Canis lupus familiaris: one gene and its partner. The protein of the gene in region 2 interacts with the protein of the main gene of each other region in a pairwise test. Links are inferred from orthologs where the notes say so. Each region holds a gene or a part of one and is shown on either strand. Other genes may lie near its edges. The genes, in order: TSSK2 and TSKS.

Region 1 (3,220 bases), on a different chromosome or scaffold from region 2:
AAATGCCAGGAGTCCATCAGCCTGCCCAGCTCCTCACAAGGATCCCCTCCTCATCCCAGTGCCTGCTCTTACCAGAAGCCCTGGCACCAAGGCTCCGCCCAAGGTCCTGCCCCCTCATGGGCCACCGCTCAGCCCCTCTGTCTCCTGCCGCCCAATCACCCATAGGCCTGCCTTGGTCCAGCCTCCTCTTGTCCAGTCAAAGGCATTGGCCTCCACTCACCCCAAAACCGATCCTCTATGTACCCTGCCAGGGACCATCTTAAAACGTGACTTGAGTCATGGCTCTTCTGGCCCCAGACCCTTCCCTTCTCCTCCACCCTCCCTCCAGATGTAAGACAGCCATTCTCAGAAGAAGCCGTCACCTCTTCCAGGCTCTTCCCTGCCTGGATGCCTCACCACCTCCTCTACCTGACCGAGGCCTGGCCCATCCTCCAGGCAGGCCCCAGCCCTGGGAACACGCATCTGCCAGTGGGGGGCACAGGGCCCTGCCTGCCCTCCCACCCCACACATGCCCCGCTTACCACAGTGGCACTCCTCTGCCCAGCCTTGTACCCCAGAACAGAAACTGCTCTCATTCACAAGGCTGGGTGGAGCCACCAGCCTGGCCAGACCAGGGCCATTCCTCCCAGGCACCACCAGTTCCAAAGACACAAGTCCTAGAGAGAGTTTTCTTCACACCCCAAAGAAGCTGTAGGAAATAGGCCCTAGTGGGACATGGACTGATGCAGAGTCAGCCCGCACAGCCAGGAGAAAGAAACAGGCATGGGGCTGGCACTCTGGCCTGACCTGGGGGGCCCTCCCTTGGGCCTGACTCAAGACCAGGAAGCCACAGCGAGGAGGAGGAGGAGGAGGAGGAGGAGGAGGAGGAGGAGGAGGAGGAGGAGGAGGAGCAGGGAGGGTTACCGCAGTCCTGGGTGCCGGCTTCCTTCCAGTGGGCGGGGAGTGGGCACTCCCACCAGGCCAGCCTGGCTTCCAAGGTTCCAGGGGCCCGTTTCCCCCAGCTCAGTCCCTACTCCCGGCAGGCTGGCTTTATGACTTCACATGCTGAAGTCACGCGGAGACAATGCTGAGCGTTCCACCCCTCCGAGTCCAGGCCCAGCCCAGCCAGACGGCTCCCCACAGGGTAAATGAGGACAATGCCCGCTGGCCCACGTGGGGAGGGGATGTAGAGCGCAGCGGCGCCAGCCGCTCCTGGCACCATGGATGATGCCGCGGTCCTAAGGAAGAAGGGTTACATCGTGGGCATCAATCTTGGCAAGGGCTCGTACGCAAAAGTCAAATCTGCCTACTCTGAGCGCCTCAAGTTCAACGTGGCGGTCAAGATCATTGACCGAAAGAAGACGCCCACTGACTTCGTGGAGAGATTCCTTCCTCGGGAGATGGACATCCTGGCAACTGTCAACCACCGCTCCATCATCAAGACCTATGAGATCTTTGAGACCTCTGATGGGCGCATCTACATCGTCATGGAGCTCGGGGTCCAGGGCGACCTGCTCGAGTTCATCAAGTGTCGGGGGGCGCTGCACGAGGATGTGGCGCGTAAGATGTTCCGCCAGCTGTCCTCGGCCGTCAAGTACTGCCACGACCTGGACGTCGTCCACCGAGATCTCAAGTGCGAGAACCTCCTCCTTGACAAGGACTTCAACATCAAGCTGTCCGACTTCGGCTTCTCCAAGCGCTGCCTGCGGGACGGCAGCGGCCGCATCATCCTCAGCAAGACCTTCTGCGGGTCGGCGGCGTACGCGGCCCCCGAGGTGCTGCAGGGCATCCCCTACCAGCCCAAGGTGTATGACATCTGGAGCCTGGGCGTGATCCTCTACATCATGGTCTGTGGCTCCATGCCCTACGACGACTCCGACATCAAGAAGATGCTGCGCATCCAGAAGGAGCACCGCGTGGACTTCCCCCGCTCCAAGAACCTGACGGGCGAGTGCAAGGACCTCATCTACCGCATGCTACAGCCCGACGTCAACCGGCGGCTGCACATCGACGAGATCCTCAGCCACTCATGGCTACAGCCCCCCAAGCCCAAAGCCATGTCTTCTGCCTCCTTCAAGAGGGAGGGTGAGGGCAAGTATCGGACGGAGTGCAAACTGGACACCCGGCCAGGCTCGCGGCCCGAGCACCGGCCCGACCACAAGCTGGGAGCCAAAACCCAGCACCGGCTGTTGGTGGTGCCCGAGAACGAGGACAGGATGGAGGACAGGCTGGCCGAGACCTCCAAGGCCAAAGATCATCACGTCACCGGAGCCGAGGTGGGGAAAGCGAGCACCTAGCGGTGCTGTGGGCCCGGGGGGCGCGGTGCATGGTGTGCGCCCACATAAACTAAATAGACAGGTAGGAGCTGCAGAAGGCACAGGTGCAAGGAACAAGTAAAATCCGTCAATTAAACCACTATTTTGATTACGTTCTATTAGCTTTCTTCCACTTAGTAGCAAAGACGTTAATTACTGACCACCAAATAAACCACAAAGTGTATACAAGCATCAAGAGTGCCCCGTGAGGAGTCTTTTTCTCTAGGACTCAGCCAACCCCCCTCCCTGCGGCGCGGGGGTCTCCAGCGTAGAGGTGCAGGGCCCGGTGCTCGGGGGCAGGCACACTCACGGTGAGGCCCTGTGGGCCAGAAGACCTCAGCCGCAGCCCACAGCCAGGCCCCCCCACCGTCTCCCTCGGACCTGCCCGGGGCCCAGTGTCCCAAGGCTGGCCAGCCGCACGGGTCTCTACGTTTCGGGCAGAGCACAGCTCACCCTGCCCCCAACCCGATCCTGCTCCCTCGGGCCCCCCTCTTTCTGCGTACTCTGCTCCCTCCATTCCTGCTTTTCAGATCAGTGGCCTGAGCCCCTTGAGTGCCCTTTTGATTGCCAGAACAGCCCCAACCCAGACCGCTCACCCACCCCTTCCTGCCCACCCTACACCCCAGCCCGTACTCGGGGGGCCAGCGCTTGGCCTTAAGTGGCCTTGTCAGGACAGTCTCTCCCCCACATCTCACACCCACTCACACCGCTGCCTCCATGCTGCTCTGGCCCACACCCCCCTCCTCCATGGGGAAAAACAGCAAAGGCCACACTCTCCTGACCCCTGAGCAGTCCTGGGCCTGGTCCCACCTGCCAAGCCTAGTCCCAGCCCCCATGAGTTAGGGGCCTGGCTGGGGCTTGGCCCCCTGAGAACTGGCAGGAACTCAGTCGAGCACAGGCTAGCGGGTACCCAGGCAGGCGGCTGG
Region 2 (3,916 bases):
GACAAACCGTAAGATACTCTTAATCACAGAAAAGAAAATGAGGATCATTGGAGAGGAGGTAGGTGGGGGATGGGGTACCTGGGTGATGGACATTAAGGAGGGCACGTGGTCTAGTGAACACTGTTATATGCAACTGATGAATCACTGATCTCTACCTCTGAAACCAACAATACATTATATGTTAATTTGAAAAAAATAAATAGGGATGCCTGGGTGGCTCAGTGGTGGAGCATCTGCCTTCAGCTCAAGGTTGAGCGTTTGCCTTTGGCTCAGGGTCCAGCGATCGAGTCCCACACTGGGTTCCCTGTAAGGAGCCTGCTTCTCCCTCTGCCTATGTCTCTGCCTCTCTTTCTCTGTGTCTCTCATGAATAAATAAATAAAATCTTTTATAAATAAATAAATAAATAAATAAATAAATAAATAAATAAACCCCTGCCCCTTTGCACTTGCTGTTCCAGCTAGCTAGAACACCATTCCTTGTCTTCTGCTTAGGGGAACACCTTCCTTATCTTCAAGATCCAGCTTATTTGTTGCCTTTTCCAGGAAGCATGGCCTTGGTCATGGCAAGCTGGGCCAAGACTACCATTTCCAGGGCTCCCACAGTAGCCTCTGCTGCCCCAATGAGTGCATCCAAGGTGCCCCCCAACTCCTAAGTCTGCCTCCACTACTTACAAGGTATGTGACCTTGGCCATGCTATCTAACCTTTCTTAGGCCTCAATAGCTTTATCTGTGAAATGGGGATAAGTAATAACAATAAGCAGCACTTACTCTGTGCTCACAGTTGGCTAATGTGCTAAACATTTTACATGCAGGAGCGCCACTTCATTGTCATGACAACCTTATGAAGTGGGTGTGGTTACATCCAGAACTCTGTCTTGCTATATTTCCCACTCCTACGCCAGTTCCTGGCAGATCATAGATGTTCAAGATATAGTTGTTGAAGGAACAAATGCAACCATTTCTATGTTACAGATGGGGAAACTGAGGCTCCCGGAACACAGAAAGTGGTCAGTAAATGCTAGTGAATCTGATTAGCATCATTACGACCATGATTATTTTCATGTCATTCTCAGAGTCCATGTCAAGCCCAGTTCAGGGAACCTGGCTGGGGTGGAGGTTGGCAGGGAAGTTAAAGGATCAAACTATCCATTCTATGCTCTAGCCAGGAATCCTTGAAATCCTCTTAGATCTTGCTCACCTCCTAGTTTTGCCTCAGATTCTTAGGGGATCCCCTTGGAGAACTCTTACTATACCATCAAAGTCCAAGTCCAACACTGCCTCGTCCAGGAAGCATTCCCTGATATTCCCTGCCTGGTTTGAGTGGCCCTTCTCTGGGATACCCAGTATTAGCTCCATTATGGAAATGTATCACTCCAGTCTGTCTCTGTCGCCCCCACCAGACTAGGAGCTCCCCATGCTCAGGAACCAGGCCTAACTCCCATCTGTGACTCCAGCCTCACCCAGGACATGTGGAAGTGAGTAGATGAACTAAAGACCAATTCTTAGGCAATGAGCATCATTCACCCAGGACGGAACTGAGTCACAGCTGGTCATTAGGGGTGGAGGAGGCAGTTCTGGGCCTCGAGGGTAACCAGAACCTTCCCATTCCAAGTCAAGAAGACCCCCCCACCAGCTCCATCCCAGCATTTGCCTAGCACCAGGGTGAAGACCCTCATCTTCCCCAGCTAGGGTCCCTCACCAGTATTTCCGTGATGTCTGGGTCATCTGAAGCCCAGGGTGGGGTGGGAGAGGCAGGGGGCACCGGCAGTGCAAGTGAGCCACTGTCTTCTGTGATTGAGTCTGTCCCTGAGGAGTCAGTGGGCTCCACAGCAGCCAGGTTGAGCAGTGACACATTGGTGCAGGCCGAGGACCGTTTGAGGTTCAGGCACCAGTGCATTGGCTCATGGGACATCCGAGGCTCCACCCTGGGGAGAAGAAACAGGGAGGGTGCTCAAGAGGCAGCCCTGGTGGGTATGGCCTCTTCTGCCTCCCTGTCTCCCCACCCCCTGCTCTCTTCCACTCCCACTTCACCACCCACTTTCTTCTTCCTTCCTCTGTCCCCGCTGCCTAATTTCTTCTGTCTTCTCCACCCCCACTGCCTACTTTCTTCTCCCTCCCTTTGTCCTCGCTCCTCTTCCTGAGTCTTCTCTTCCCCACTGACCTTTCCCTCCCTCCCTCCATCCCCACTACCGTCTTCCTCTCCACTTCCCACACTATGTCTCCTCTGCCACCACCCTCTTGTCTGCCCCTCCTCTGCCCCCTCCTCTTCTCCCCCTCCCCTTCCTCCAGCACCCACGGTGGGACTCGTGCTCTGTTGGAGGCAGTGCTGGGCGCTAGGACCGTCCCCGACAGGGTGCGACAAACCCACCCGTGGAACGACACGGCCTTCTTTTTCTTCGTGATCCCCTTGGCCGGGGTGGTCACCCCCCCAGGAGCCTCAGGGACCAGTTGGGCGCGGCTCTCGACCCCCGCAGGGGGGTCCCCAGCCTCATGGATCTCTTTGGACTGCCAGATTGTCTTCACCACCACGCTCGCCATGGTGTGTGGGTGGCCCTGCTCCCCGGGGCTCCTTCCTCTGAGACTCTCCACCTACTCTGATCACTAACCTTCAAAGTCCCTGACCCCCACCAGCCTGCCTCATAAAGGACCCAACCACTGGGCTCCAGTAAAGAGGGGGGGGGTGCATAGGAGTAGAGAAAGGCAACCAGCATGTTTTCCCAGGGTCTGCCATGAACACTTCCAGCTCTACCAGATATGTCCCTTCTGTTAGAACTGCAATGGATTTGTTCTGGAACTTACAATGGATGGGCCCCCTGGTTCTTGGGGGGCGTTCAACTTCCCTTCCCCTGAGCCTATGGGGTGACCCAGCCCCCTATTCATACTTGATTTTTCATGTAATACCTTAGACTTGGCACTTTCTGGGGTCTGGGAGACTGTGATGAGTGAGGATTGAGTCCCATTGCTGGAGGATCCAACATTTTGGGGTAGGGGGCAGCAGGCAGGCAACAGGCAGAAATAAACCAAAATACCAGATGTTGGTAAATGATATCAGGAGAATCAATATGAGGTGATGACCTGTGCTCATCAAAGCCCATCGATTTATGCACTTTGAGATGTGAGCCTTTTACTGCAAGTGGCCTTTGCCTATTAAAAAAAAAGGGGGGGGGAATCCCTGGGTGGCCCAGCGGTTTAGCGCCTGCCTTTGGCCCAGGGCGCAATCCTGGAGATCCCACGTCAGGCTCCCAGTGCATGGAGCCTGCTTTTCCCTCTGCCTGTGTCTCTGCCTCTCTCTCTCTCTCTCTCTCTCTCTCTCTCTCATAAATAAATAAAAATTAAAAAAAAAAGAAACTAAACTGACATTGAACTATAGTCAATGATAGACATTTTGAAGGGTTTGGGTTTGTAGTAGTTTCCTGGGGCTGCCATCACAAAGTCCCACAAACTGAGGTGACTCAAACAATAGACATTTATTGTCCCGGTTCTGGAAGCCAGGAGTCCAAGATCTAGGCATCTTCAGGATGGCTTTCTTCTGAGGCTGTGAGAGAGGGGTCTGTTCCTCACCCCTTGCTTCTGGTAGCTCAGGCATGACTAGGCTTATAGATGGTCATGTCCTCCTGTGTCTTCTTGTCCTCTCTCTGTAAGTATCTATTTCTGTAGCCATGCTTCCCCCTTTTTAAGGACATGGTTATGGGGGCATCTGGGTCACTCAGTTGGTTAAGTGTCTGAGTTTGGCTCACATCATGCAAGCAGGGGATCTGCTTGTCCCTCTGCCCCTCCCTCCTTCACTCATGCTCATGCTCTCACTCTTATAAAAAAAAAAAAAAAAAAGACACGGTTGTGGTGCCCGGTTGGCTCAGTCAGAGGAACATGAGACTCTTGATCTCAGGGTCATGAGTTTGAGCCCCATGTTGGGTG

Evidence for each region.
Region 1: the proteins of TSKS (region 2) and TSSK2 interact in binary tests that used the Homo sapiens proteins (3 or more experiments, as listed by UniProt). The link is inferred for Canis lupus familiaris from reciprocal best matches to the Homo sapiens genes TSKS and TSSK2.

The regions. Positions count from the first base shown.
Region 1 is NC_049247.1:30,211,383-30,214,602, reverse strand, and holds TSSK2 (testis-specific serine/threonine-protein kinase 2), read left to right. Parts: upstream 1-1,068; 5' UTR 1,069-1,199; coding exon 1,200-2,276; 3' UTR 2,277-2,407; downstream 2,408-3,220.
Region 2 is NC_049222.1:107,465,257-107,469,172, reverse strand, and holds the start of TSKS (testis-specific serine kinase substrate), read right to left. Parts: upstream 2,625-3,916; 5' UTR 2,540-2,624; coding exon 2,298-2,539; intron 1,927-2,297; coding exon 1,701-1,926; intron 1-1,700. UniProt on the Homo sapiens protein: May play a role in testicular physiology, most probably in the process of spermatogenesis or spermatid development.